Linked DNA regions of Rhinolophus ferrumequinum. The protein of the gene in region 1 interacts with the protein of each later gene in a pairwise test. Links are inferred from orthologs where the notes say so. Each region holds a gene or a part of one and is shown in the gene's direction. Other genes may lie near its edges.

Region 1 (4,693 bases):
AGATAAGACTCTCATTTTTGCCTCGTAGGTTAGGCTTGGGATGGAGGTGGGCAGGAGTAACTTTTGCAAGAGAAAGGGAGTCAGAAAGCAGTGAAGAGGGGGTAGGGATGGGAATGCGGAAGGTCAGAGGGACTATAACATTGGCCTTCTAGGGCAGACATCTGCATTTGGGTTTTAGGCAGGTGTAGGCACCTATGTGAGTGTGTTTCCTGTTGCAGTCACTATTGGACAGAGTTCCTACACCCCAGCCCCTTTCTTCAGGTCTCTTTTCTGTTTCTCTCCCTTACCTGCAAAACAAAACAAAACAAAACAACAACAACAACAAAAAACAAGCCTAGAGATTCCTTGTCCTTCCTCCCCTTAGGTCAGACTCGTGCTGCAGCTCCTGGGCAGAACCATCTAGAAACTGGCTGAATTGATTTTTCTCCACATTACAGGCCTCTGCTGGCCAACAGAGTTAGACTGCAGGAGTCGAGGCTCTAGGCCAAGGGATGGAGCAGGATGATGGGAGAAGGGAGGAGGGGATGGAGGTTCTGCCTAGTTATTGTCTAAGGTCACTTAGACACTATGAGGCAAGAGGAGAGAATGACAGCCTGGCCAGAAAAGACCTAACCACTCAGAACTCAGCTGAGAAGGTTTCCCAAATTGGACCTATACCTCTAACCTACCTTGAATCTTAAGGACACTGAAGGAAAAGGGTCCAGCATAAGAAACTGAATGGGAAAGCAGTAGGACTATGGAAAAGGAGGGGTTGAGGTCTGGGGAGGAGCCAGGAAAGTATGCATAGAATGACAGTGAGTTCCAAACTCAGGAAAATAGGCATCTCTCTAGTCACTTGGTCTGGCACTATTTCTAAGTGTTGCAGCATCCTGCAAGCTCAGAGAACATCCTGGGAAACATCCCAACCTCAGGCCCCCAAGGGCTCCAGGGTGGCTCCAGTGAAGAAGTTTCAAAATGCTAGTCCATGGAGAGTCGCTGGTCAGAGATAAAAGTTTATGGATAAGCACCGCCCCTCTCCCCAAATTAAAAAAAAAACACCACAGTGTGGTTTTTCATAAATCAGGATTTACTAAGTTTCGAAGGACTGTCTTTTTCTGAGAGTATATCCTTCCTACTTTTCTACTTAGAAATGATGGCAATAGTAAGTAGTAGGTTTTCTTTTTTTTCTTTTTAATGTGCTTACTTGGCAAAATGAAGGTAACAATACTGTATCTGTCCTCGCAAACTTTTTGTTGTTGTTTTAATTTTATTGAACTATTAAATTCAAAAGTCTGAAATGGCTAAGAGAACAGAGGATACTCAGATGTAGAGCCACCATTTACCTATTTATGAACTTAACATAGGATTGCCAGGTTTGAAAAACAAAAACAAGATGCCCAGTTAAATTTGAATTTCAGATTTAAAAAAAACACACTAATATATTTTGTGTTATTATGTCCCAAATATGGTGTGAGACATACTTATACTAAAAAAAATTATTAGTTGCTTATCTGAAATTCATATTTAACTAGCGTCCTGTATTTTATATGACAGCTCTAAATTGAGACAATTGCTTCACTTTTTCATTCTAAACGTGACTGAGGCTTTATTAAAGTTTACTTGTTGTTGCTGTTATTGTTGTTTTTGAAGTCTTGGCTGTGCCCCAACATGCCTAGTTGTGTTATGTTTATCTAGTCATTTAACTTCTGGAAGTGCAAATTTATTCATTTGAAAAACAGGAATTATAAAAGCTCTTTTCACAGACGATGTGAAAATTAAAGAAAATAAGTTGAATGCAATAACTCCCATCACTAAGTGGCCTGAGATGGGGATGTCGCCTCCCGCCCAATACCGGGTCGGCCAAGACTACATATCCAACAATCCTATGCGGCGTCCCTCCCCCCGCCGCCCCGCCATTACCTCATTCCCTGGCCTCGTTCTCGCCAACCCTCGCCTCTCCAGGGGTGTGGTAGCGGGCTGTTCTCGCGACTTTTGCTTTACCCTTCTCCTGTGCTACTGCTGTCGCGAGACTTCCTGCTTCTCCGCCTCCTCCGCCGCTCCCTTTGCCGCCGCCTTAACCCGGGACCCGGACCCAGCCTCTCCCCTACCCGAACACCGGCCCCGGCTCCGCCGAGTCCCCGGTCCCCCAACCCCGCCTCGCCGCCGCCATGGCGGACCCTAAATACGCCGACCTTCCCGGCATTGTGAGTACAGGGCCGGCCCCGGGTCCCCAGGACCGCGCCCCCAACCTCCTAAGGACCCCCAACAGACACCAACCCGTGACCCCTCCCGCCTGCAGCCCCTCCTCCGCCCCCGGGCTCCCGCGGCTCGCTCCCGGACGGGCCGCAGCATCTTCCGGACTCCTCTGACCCGACTGGGCCGGGCTTTGGGACGGCCTACCAGGCCCCTCTTCCGGCAGTCGCCGGTTTCTCGGCCCAGAAATTGTCTCCGGGCCCTTACCATTTGTGGTCGAGTGTTTGCCATCCGTGTCAGCACCACCCGTGTCTCCCCAAACCTCCCATCCCCACCCCAGAAACACATACCAGGCTATTTAGTGATGGCCTTTATCCTGCCAAGGCAGAACCCTTCTTGTGCCAGATGGAGAACTGTCCTGGGAGTGTCCACCCCAACCCCAACCTACCTCTCACATGCCGTCATGTACCCTTTTCTGCTGTCCTGCCTGCATTCTTGGAGTGGGGGTTGGGTCACAGGATCATGGGTACTAAGGTCCTGAGTCACTCTAAACCCTTGTGCCAGGGTAGTGGTGTATAGAACCTGATTCAAGGATAGTCCTTCTACCTTTGCCATCATGATTGCCAAAGACCCACCCCCCTTCAGATTCAGGGTAACATCTTTGTCATCACTTACACTCACCATTGACCATCAGGTCCCAGTTGTCCCACTCTTAGCCCCATTCTTCTAAGTCATGGGAACTGATGTGCATTTAACCGGGCAGGTGGAAGAGAAGGGACAGAATCCTGGCATCACAACCTGCCCTCTCTGTTAACTTGTTCGAATGGAATAGGGTCAGGGGTGTTGGTGGATGCTCCGTAGTGAAGCTGGGTGGTCACTGCTTCTACCTGCAGGCCAGGAACGAGCCAGATGTGTACGAAACCAGCGACCTCCCTGAGGATGACCAAGCGGAGTTTGATGCGGTAAGGCTGTGCTGCCTCGGGACTCCTCTGGGCTCTGACCTTCCTCCCTCAGGCAGGCCCTTTCCCATTTCTGGGGGCCACAGCAATAAGCGGGTATGCCAACCCAGCCTGGGTGGTGTGTAGGTGGCGGCGCTTGCAGAGGCCTTGCTGGTCTTGCAGCTGCCAGTGAGCCGTGCCAGGAACTAATAAGACCTGATCCTTGACCTTTGAAATATCTCAAAACAGTTTTGGGACTAGTGATTTGGTTAAGCCCCTGGGTGCGAGCCGTGGTAATGAATCATGAAGCCGAAGCACTTATAAACTGCTAGAGGTTAGGACCTAGACCTTCTCATTCAAAAATATTTCATTTAATACATGTTCATTACCATCCTACCAAGAGCTAGACATGGAAGTATAGAGAAGAACTCTTTTATATGAATATCCAGTATCCGTTGGGCAAGGAGTAAGAAAATAATTTGAAGATTTTAGAAAGAAGAGAGACCTGGTCAGAACAAAACAAATTTGAGGCAGAACACAACTCTGATATCAGCATAGGTGAGGCCCTGGTAGCGCTCAGATCCAAGAAGAATTCTGAGGAGGAAGGAATTAGCTGTGGACCCATTTTAATGAGGGGAACCACTTAGCATTGTTTATTGAATATGTTCATTCTGTGTTGATTTTTTGTGTGTGTGCAATGCAGAGGAAGAAATGTCCCTACTCTCAAGGATCCCCCAGACTAATGGGGGAGTTAGGAAACATAGGAAACACGGAAGAAAAAATAAAATTGAGTGAATGAAAATCAACATAGTAAAAATTCTGTATGTAAGTGCTAAGGGGAACAAAGATCTATTACCATGTCTTGTAGGATGTGTTTTAGGTTCTGTTATTTCCAAAAAGAGCTGGGCTAGGGTTACATGGATGGTGTGAGAGCTCAATAAAGTTGCGACCAGGAGTCAGTGGGAACAGGCTCAGTATGTGTGTCTGTAAGTCCTTTGTCTGTGGGGCTCATTAGTTCTCGAGAATGCTGGTTGCTGGCTTACAATGTATGGCTTGGCGTACTCACTTATTCCTTATTTGGTTTCCCCCATGTGGAAGTGGTTCCTGCTTTGTGGGGTACACCTTCCCATCCCCTCTCTCAGTGGTGTGTGCCTTGTGGCTTCTGTACTTGCTGGCATGTCAGTCTGTCCCCCAAGCCTGAGTATCTGGAGATAACGCAGATGTTGTCGTTGCTCAAGCACCTAGGTGTGCACCTGTCCCTCCAAGAGGTATCTTATTAGGGAGCTGCCTGACCTCACAGGGCAGGAGTGTGTACGCTGAGATCTCCACTCTACTGCCATAGTTCAGAGAATGCTCAACTGTGGCCTAGGCCTCTGCCAGTAAGAATCAAGCCTTCGTGGCAAAATAATGAATGGGACTTTGTTTTTTGGTCACTGACCATGATACAGATAGGTAGTACCACAGCAGTCCCCATTCCAAACCAAAAAATACATTGTAATTTTCTTTTGAAGGTACTGGGATCTCTTCATAAAAAGAAGATGACCCCCATTCCGGGCACGGTAGAACCTGAATGTGCAGCCCTG
Region 2 (4,693 bases), on another chromosome or scaffold:
GATGTAATAAGAGGGAAAAGGAGCAGAATCTAAAATTAAATTCATGGCCTCTGATCTCATATTTCTTGGTTTCTGATCTTGCTCTGCCATGTACTAGATAAGCAATCTTGGCAAGACACTTAACTATTCGGTGCCTCAGTTTCCTCAACTATACTATGAAGATAATAGTGAAAATCATTTCAAAAGGATATTGTGTCCAGAACAGTGCCTGGAAAATACTCAATAAACAATAATACTAAGTAACAAATAATATAACTTACAATATTTTCAAGTTTGTAAAGGAAAAATGCAAGCTGAGCATGATTACCTGGAAGGCAATAACTGAAGCATTATTGTTTCTGAATGAGATGTTTGTGGGCAATTCTTTTCTACTTTGTTATACTTCTCAGTATGTATTTTAAAATAAAGTTTAAAAATTAAGTTTTAAGCATGCATGGCTTGATGGAAATTAAGTTTGAAATTTGGAATAGGTTAAAATTTATAACCAATTATACTACGCATTAATGAAATATTAACTAAGTATTATACAGACGATGTGACAGAATTTACATTTACCTTCTTTTACTTTGTTGTAAATACATTCTAACTAGGAATTACTTTTTCAAGTTTAGCAATGTCAATTTAACACTCAGAAATAAACTCAAATGTTTATTATAATCTTAATATTTTGACCTACTAAAACTAAAAAATTATTTTTTAATTTAAAAAATTCCCAAAGGTGCCTTTCATGTTCAAGCTCTAATTAGCAACCACTCTGGTCTCTGACACATATTGCGCAGATATTGAAGTGTTAATAATACTGCAGCTTGATTACAAAAAGGCAATGATTAATTTTAAAGCAGACAAAAAAGGTATGTCCTGATTACAAAGGAATGATTAAAGCGGAATGTCAGACATTGCACATTTATAGCAGTCTTTGCCATAGTCAAAGGATAAGACTTTGCAAAAGTTTATATTTAGAATCACGGATACTGCCTGCTTTATAATACTGGGTGTTCGGGCCTTCGAGATAGATCACCCTGACTCCAAAGGCCTAAGGCCTTTGGGGGACACGTGGCCACAGGAAAATGTAAGGGTGATGGTGTATTTTGCAAGGTTTAACAATGTAGTTCCTTTTTCGTTTTTCTTCTTTTGTTTCCTTCCTTTCCTCCCTGATTCAATTGCTCTGTTTTCCCAAGGTTGCATACATACCTCATTAATCTGGTCAATCGCCAGAACATGGACTTAAAAGAAACTTGCAGCCCTTAGACTTCTAGAAGCGGACAACCAGGCTGCAACTCCCCTGCAATTTTCCACCAGTTGACGCATGAATCGCCCCTCCAACTGAGTGGAGATAACATTAGCTCCCAAAGAACTGGACGGACCCCAGGATGCGATTTTTTTGGACGTCAACCCCCAGGAATCGCTTGACTCGCCCTTCCCTTTGTTCTGCCTCTTCTTACAGGCCTATCAAACCTTCTGGCTGTTCTAGAAATGGGGAAGATGGCCTTTGAGGTAGGAGCCTGCCATCTTCCCGGAAGACTGGCATTTGGATAAACCTCCTTTTCTTTGCACCAACCCTTGTCTCTGGGACTTCGGCGTTTGTGGGGCAAGCCCAGAACCTGGGATTTTCGGTACCAGAAGCACCTGAAGGCAAATGGGCCAAAGGCGGCGCCGTAGTTTACGTCCCTCCGACGTGAGGCGCCGGCCGCAGCCTCCGAAGGTCTCCGCCGGCGACACTGTTAGTCAGGACCGGTCGTACCGAGAGGCGGAGCCCTGTGAGGACCTTCTCTCCAGAGAGAGGGGCCGGAGAGGTAAAGCCTGAGCACAGAAAGGGCCGCTGCCCAGACCTGCTCGGGAGCCACGGCCTCGGGCCTCCGTTTTTATTTCCCACCGGCACAAAAAAGAAAACCGGAGAGAGGGGCCGCGGCCTGGCCCGAGGGGACCTGCGTTCCGCCAGGGAAAAGGCCGCGTTTGAGGCGGTTCTCACCAGCGGAACGAGGGCGCGAGAGAGGGAGAAACGGGGTTTGTCTCTTAGAACAGGACACAAAGGCCGGGGGTGGGGGGAGGGGGCGGCCCGGGCGGCGGCCCGGCCGTCGGGGCCTCTCGCCAGCCTGCCTCGGCCTCCGGCCGGCCTTGCTGGGGGCAGGGCACCTGGACGTGGACGTCGATATGGGAATAGCCTTAGAATAATCCTTTCTTATGGTGCTTTCCAGGATCTTCAGAGTCGGTTATAAAATATTTAAGGGCAAAAAAAGGATCCGCAGGAGCCTGTGCGGAGATGAGTTTAGAGTCCTTGTTTCAGCACATCATCTTCTCGGAGCAGCGGGCGGAGGAGAGTCGCCGCTTGATGCGAGAAGGTCGGTGGGCTCGTTTCCACGGGACCTTTGTCGTCTTCAGTTCGGAGCTTGGAGCAGAAGTAAATCCCCAACGTAGTGGACTGAGCAGTTAGGGGGGTGTGCTTTCCACGTCGAGGGGACAGAGAGCTGAAAGGTGACTTTTCACAGGCCACCGAAATGGGGACTTGAGAAACATTGATGTGTTTAAGGATTTAATTTGTATTACAGTCAGGTCGGAAATAAACAGATGCCGTGAAAAACTTAAGAAAGCCACAGAGGAGCTGAATGAAGAGAAAATCAAGTTGGAAACTAAGGTACTGACCTGTGGAGTGTGCTCATTATCATTTGAAAAAGTCTGTTTTAACTTGACTTTTGGAAGATATTTAACTAGTTGTCCTTCAAGTAGGAAGCAGCTTACTAGCCTGATTAGCATTTTGTATGTTGCCTGGGAATATTTAAAGTTCTGAATCCGGTGACACCTTCCATTCTAATATGAATTTGTCCTAAAGAAAGAAGTTTAAGTAATAAGGCATTCGTTGGCCGTGTTGTGGGATGGTTAACGTTTTAAAAGAGGACAATGTCATTGGAAAAATAATTGTTCCATAAGTACTTGGTGCACTATGTACATTTTGAATAATAAATAATTTAAGAAGTGTGCTATGTTGATGTAACAATTGAATGTAGCTTCAAATGAGTCTCTGCCTTTTGTTTTTCAACTCTCTACCACATTTTGTACTTGCCTGTCATCCAAAAGCATAATTTTTCTACTAGCATTTCTCCTTTTTCTGCAGCATTTGTAAAGTTCTGCTGTTTTAAATAGAAGCAAGGGAATCTGATGGTTTCTTGAAGGAGGATTTTGAAGCATGCGTTTTGGACAGGCAAATTAATAGGACAGAAACATTCCGGTCAGGGGAGGATCTGAAGGAAAGGGAGACATACCTAATGCATATTGGGAGAGAAATCATCCAAAGCAGAGGACTGATATCTGGGAAGAGGAGGAAACCATCGCAGGTTTTTGATTGGGAAGCAGAGCAATAAAAGTGGTTTTCAGAAGATCGCTCTGAGTTCTGGGAGGATGAGAGCTATGAACATCATCCAAGTATATCACAATGAAGGCCTTGCTACGAGCAGGGGCAGACAGTCATACAAAAATGTTTATTCAACTCCTAAAGATCACTAAGCAAGCAGTGTGCAATGGGAAATCTGTTTGAGGAAGTCTGTTTGCCTTAAAATGTGTCTGTCTTAATTTACCACTGAGGAACTTCCAGTTCTCGTTTTGAATAATGTAATTATAGATGTTTTCTCTACCTGGGGAGCTTCTGCTCTTCCAAGTCTTGCTCAGGCATCAGGTGTGAAGCCCTCCCTTGGACATCTTGGAAAAATTCTTTCATTATAACATTCAGTGCATCACCTTACAATTAAGCAACAATATATACTTGTGTTTGTGTTTGTATCTTTCAATTTTGTGAGCAATATAGCTGGAATTTTTTTCTTACCCATTTTTTTATTCCAACAGCCTTTATCCAATGCCTACAATTAGTATATATTAGCATTTTAAATGACTTAATGAGTGCTAATAATGAGATAATAGGGAGAGTGCTGTCTTTTACAATAGAATTTGAAACCATTACTCAGTAAGATCTTAGGTCCTGTTTTGCTGGAGTAGCAGATAGACTAGCTGTTAACAATGCTAAAAGCTGATGGGATGGGCAAAGCATTAAAAATGTCATGATGTACTTTAGCTTTCTTTTTCTTTAGAAAACAATATACTTTGAGGACTGGTAACTAGAAGCTATTAGAAGTAATAGGCAAAACAGTTAGGTAATGCGTAGATAGCTACCACTCATTCAGCACTTACTTTATGCTGGGCACTGATCTAAATACCACATCTGTATTAACCCCTTTAATCCTGCCAGGAATTCTGTGATAAGGCACCATCATTTAATCTCCCTTTATAGGGGAGGAAACCCAGAGGTTACATGACTTATCCATGGTATATAACGTAAAAACAAACTACCATAATGAAAGTACGATAGCATATTTTATTAAAACAGATTTCTGAGCTCATCTTAAACTTTTTTCCATGAAATTCACGTATAATGTATGTGAAAATTTTGCGTAGAGTTTAGGGCAATATTTTTAGAAGGTCACTTATGTAAGTTTTTGTACAAAAATGTATTTTTCCTAGATTGATGAAGATATTGACCTGACAGCAAATGTTAAAAAAAAAAATTGCTATTTGAATATCTTCTCTGAAAAAAATTAGGTTTGCTCTTTGTAGTATTTTATTTGTTAGCAGCCTCTTTTGCTGGAAAATGGAAATGTAATTTGTTGATATATACATGTACATAAAAAATGTTGATTCAAATATTTAT
Region 3 (4,693 bases), on another chromosome or scaffold:
TAATTCAGGTTTTGTTTGCAAAACTGAAAGTGCTTCAGCACTTACATAATTTCAAGTTTAAGGAATTTTTTAACAAAGACATTACGTGTTAGGATTTAAGGTATAGCTATGAAATACATAAGCACCCTTGGGTAAATTATGCATTAGCTACCACCATTCCTTTACTCAAACTTTGTCCCTTGCTGACAAGGCAGTTAAGGATTAAGTGCAAAATGGCAGCTCAAATAAAAGAGCCAGAAAACCAACCTATCAGTTTTCTTTTCCACTAAATTAAGATCAAGAGAGTTGGAGAATATTTTGTCTAGAATGATACAAACATATAGGTGCAAAAATTCTCATATACCTTTGCAAAAAATTACTTCCGTGACCTTTGACTATACAATGACCCTAATAATGCAAGCACTGTTTTGAATGCAAGTATATGGAGGACATTTTCACAATGTTAGATGACTTCAGTGGTTTAAGACATTTTTTAAAAATTTATTGGATAAACTCATAACATGAAAAGAACTTTCAACCTATTCAGTGAAAGTTTGTACATTAAAGTTTGCTTTTCAAAAATGTGTCACTACTGCTTGCTTTCTACCCACAGGTTGTGATTATCTCAAAGGTGAAATTTTAGCATATGACTAAAAGGTCCTATAGCTACAGCTTCATGATTCAGCATCTAACATCAATAATTCACAGTGAGATCACAGGTTCTCTGTGGAAGGTAGTGACATACTTGCCTTATGAAAGGAAGCTTAAGGCATATTGAGAGCATTTTGAATTTAGACTTGTGGCTTGTGTGGGTGTCAGGCATTTGTTTCTTAGCTAGTGAGGGTGCAGAAGGATCCTCCTTTGGGAAAGGCTCTCTGAAAAAGGTGAATTTGGGTTGTAAGGCTAGGATACACACATGTGGTAGCCAGAACCTCCCCAACATGGTTTTCCAGAGTTATCCTGGGCAGGTGGGAACCCTTTCTGCTTTCTGTGGAAAAGATTCCAACTTGGTTCCCTGCCATGACCAAACACAAATGTGTTGATTTTTCTTTTTTGAGCTTCCAACCCTTGCAACCTTCCAAAAATAAATCAAACCAGCCATCAGGGCACCGAAATAATACTACTACTAATAAGCAGCTTTGCCTAGACTTACATAAACAACACTTCTGAGGTAAACTTTGCCCCAAAGGTCTGCACACACTCTTTTTTATGTAAACTTCTTACTAATAATTACTAGACTTGGGTGCATTAACCCCGAAAATAGATTTTAATAGCAACCCCTAAAAACAAAAGACATGAAACGACAATTAAAAAAAATGTGCACCAACTAGAAAAACACTTGGCAGCGTTCTGCAGCCCAAGCTGAAGACACCCCTCCTCCCTACTCCTTGCCACTGCAAAGACCTCCTTGTCCTGCCAACCCCCTCCACAGGATAAGAGAGCCTACTTGGGACCCCGCCCTCCCCTATCCCTAAGCTCGCCTTCCACGTAGCTCCTCCCCCTTCCGCTCCTCTCAGCCCTTGTTCCAGGAGCTGGGGTCAAATTGTCGGAGCAAGCTGATTTGCATAGCCCAATGGTTGCGCGTATGCAAATGAGGCGAGAGGTGGTTGGCTGGAGGGTAGCAGGATAACTCCAGTGAGCCCGGCCTTTGTCCTTCAGTGGCTGTGAGGCAGCTGCGGTGTTGGCGTCGCTGCTCTGGGCTAAGCGAGGCGAGGGGCCGGATAGCGAGCGGGGCGAGAGGGGCGGACCGCGCGGCGGCGGCGGGTGCTAGAGGAGCCTGGCCTGAGGGAGTGCACAGAGCCGGCGCCCGCGTGCCCACGGTGGCAGGAGCAGCCCGCACGCCGCTCTCTCTCTGTGGGGGACCTGCAGTTGCAATATGACTTTGGAGGAATTTTCGGCTGGAGAGCAAAAGACCGAAAGGTAAGTCGGCCGAAGCCTCTCCTTGAACTTGCACTCGCTGCGCCCACCAAAGTGCAACCAGGCTGTGGAAGGTTGCTGGGGAACGAGCGGGTAAAAGTTTGCAGAGAGCACCTCCGGCCTTTCCCCTACGGGAACCCTCCAGAGGGGCGCCGGCGGACGGAAAGAGTGTTTCCTCCCGAACCCGACCGAGCCCCTCTAGGCTGCCTTTGCAAAGGGCAGAAGCGACCCTCCCTGTCGTGCGGCTCCTGCGGCTGGCAGCCTGTGGCTGCGCCCTGCGCCAGGGACTGGCAGTCCGCTTGGGGCGGGGGGGTGGCGGGTGGCATTCTCGGGGATTCTAACAGGACACCCGGCCTCGGGGCGTGCGAGGGGTCATGGGGGGTGACGGGGCCGGGGTAGCCCCGGGCTTGCAGGAAGCTGAGGTGCGCGGTGACTCATGCACTCGGGAGGGAGGGTCGCGGTGCAGGGCGAGGGGGCGCCGAAGGTTCTGAGGAGACCCGGGCTGACGCGACCCTTTGCTCTTGCCGGTGTGTAGGATGGATAAGGTGGGGGATGCCCTCGAGGAAGTGCTGAGTAAAGCTCTGAGTCAGCGCACCATCACGGTCGGGGTGTACGAGGCGGCCAAGCTGCTCAACGTGTAAGTGGGGCCCCTCGCGTGTCCCTCGTGGCACCCCTTTCCACCCCCAACCCGGAGAGGTCGCCCAAGCCGGGTGCCCCTCGCCCTGCAGCGCCCCTTCCTGCTGCTTTCCATCTGCCCCAGAGGCAGCGAGCGGGTCCGGGCACGACCCCCGGGAGCCGGGTGGGTCCGCGCGGGCCCGCAGCGCCTCTGTGCTCACCCGCCCCTCCCGCTGCCCGCAGCGACCCGGATAACGTCGTTCTGTGCCTGCTGGCCGCGGACGAGGACGACGACAGAGATGTGGCTCTGCAGATCCACTTCACCCTGATCCAGGCATTCTGCTGCGAGAACGACATCAACATCCTGCGCGTCAGCAACCCGGGCCGGCTGGCGGAGCTCCTGCTCCTGGAGACCGACGCGAACCCCGCGGCGAGCGAGGGCGCGGAGCAGCCCCCAGACCTGCACTGCGTGCTGGTGACGGTAAGGGAGAAGGGAACTGCGGGCCCGCCCGTCGCGGTTTCGGAGTACTGGAAGGAAGTGAGCCAGGGCGGACAGTCTGCCTGACTGCAGAATAGGTGCCCGTCAAGCGCGTGGCTGCCTTTGCCCCATTAAAGAGTGTGGCAGGACTTTCAGCCGAGATGTGCCAGTTTCATCATCAGGATTTTCTCTGGTACAGAACATGCCTAAGCACGTCGGAGGCTGCCAGCAGCGGAAGAGATCCTTGTGAGTCAGCACTGTCAGCCCAACTACTCCCTACCTACATCTGTACTACCTCCCGTGACTAATTCCTTTAGCAGGGTAGATTAGATAAAGCCAAATAAATTCCTGGCTCACCCTCATTAAGGAGTCAGCTTCATTCTCTGCCAGTCAAAGCTAAAAATAGAAATGGTGTAGGAGACAAGCCTCATTAATTCCCTAGAAATACATAAAGAGGATAGAGTGGAAATTTTTTCTCTGCAATCTTGCATTTTTTTTTTTTTTTTTTAGTGGAGGGTTTCTTTTTTTTTGTTTTTTTTTAACCCCCTGATAAAAACCTTTGGTAGGTAGATAACTTGTAGGTGTAGAGGCAAATGTGATAGCTTTGTCTTTTATATTTTACTACTTTTTGGCTGGTCTAGTTAAGTGGCAGCCCAATTATTTTGTTACTCCTGAAAAAACTTTTTCTTTTTGGAGGATAACAGGTGGCAATTATGTAATAGTTAACTGCTATCAGCTCTCATCTCATTGTATGGGCAGCTAGAAATATTTCTCAGAAGTTGTTCACTCAGGTTTGTGCCACAGTACAAGTTTGGTAGGACAAACCTGTGAATGACACTCATGCAAAACTGAATAATTGTCATGCAAACATGTATGTGATTCAGTGGGTTGCATGAGTTCACACTTCGCAGGGTATAATTTAGTACAGAATTACCCTTAATGATTTTGCAGGAAATCCAACTAACTAGAAAAAAATAATTTTTTAAAAATTTTATTGGGGAATATTGGGGAACAGTGTGTTTCTCCAGGGCCCATCAGCTCCAAGTAGTTGTCCTTCAGTCTAGTTGTGGAGGGTGCAGCTCACTGGCCCATGTGGAAACCGAACCTGCAACCCTACTGTTCAGAGCTTGCACTCTAACCAACTGAGCCATCCAGCCACCTCCTGGAAGAAAATATTTTTGTGATTGTAACCAGTCTCCATGTCACAAAACCCCAGTATAGAATGTTCAAGTGTCTTTCCCTGAAAAATAGTGTACTTATTAGCAAATGCTGATAGTGTTTTTTTAATAGTAAATTTATTTCTCTAAAATTGTCCCTAGAATCCACATTCATCGCAATGGAAGGATCCTGCCTTAAGTCAACTTATTTGTTTTTGCCGGGAAAGTCGCTACATGGATCAGTGGGTTCCAGTGATTAATCTTCCTGAACGGTGATGGCATCTGAATGAAAATAACTGAACCAAATTGCACTGAAGTTTTGAAATACCTTTGTAGTTACTCAAGCAGTTACTCCCTACAGTGATGCAAGGATTACAGAAATTGATGTCAAGGGGCTGAGTGAGTTCAACTACATGCTCTGGGGGCCCGGAGATAGATGACTTTGCAGATGGAAAGAGGTGAAAATGAAGAAGGAAACTGTTGAAACAGAAATATAAGTCAAAAAGAACAAGAATTACAAAGAACCACGCAGGAAGGAAAACAAACT

Evidence for each region.
Region 2: the proteins of DCTN2 (region 1) and CCDC172 interact in binary tests that used the Homo sapiens proteins (3 or more experiments, as listed by UniProt). The two-hybrid records come from large-scale screens. The link is inferred for Rhinolophus ferrumequinum from reciprocal best matches to the Homo sapiens genes DCTN2 and CCDC172.
Region 3: the proteins of DCTN2 (region 1) and GADD45A interact in binary tests that used the Homo sapiens proteins (3 or more experiments, as listed by UniProt). The link is inferred for Rhinolophus ferrumequinum from reciprocal best matches to the Homo sapiens genes DCTN2 and GADD45A.

The regions. Positions count from the first base shown.
Region 1 is NC_046293.1:56,513,933-56,518,625, reverse strand, and holds the start of DCTN2 (dynactin subunit 2), read left to right. Parts: upstream 1-1,863; 5' UTR 1,864-2,147; coding exon 2,148-2,183; intron 2,184-3,065; coding exon 3,066-3,134; intron 3,135-4,693. UniProt on the Homo sapiens protein: Part of the dynactin complex that activates the molecular motor dynein for ultra-processive transport along microtubules. In the dynactin soulder domain, binds the ACTR1A filament and acts as a molecular ruler to determine the length.
Region 2 is NC_046299.1:12,233,331-12,238,023, reverse strand, and holds the start of CCDC172 (coiled-coil domain-containing protein 172), read left to right. Parts: upstream 1-2,201; 5' UTR 2,202-2,260; coding exon 2,261-2,339; intron 2,340-2,546; coding exon 2,547-2,632; intron 2,633-4,693.
Region 3 is NC_046292.1:49,811,966-49,816,658, forward strand, and holds GADD45A (growth arrest and DNA damage-inducible protein GADD45 alpha), read left to right. Parts: upstream 1-1,626; 5' UTR 1,627-1,855; coding exon 1,856-1,899; intron 1,900-2,431; coding exon 2,432-2,533; intron 2,534-2,754; coding exon 2,755-2,992; intron 2,993-3,188; coding exon of another isoform or gene 3,189-3,235; intron 3,236-4,308; coding exon 4,309-4,422; 3' UTR 4,423-4,638; downstream 4,639-4,693. UniProt on the Homo sapiens protein: In T-cells, functions as a regulator of p38 MAPKs by inhibiting p88 phosphorylation and activity.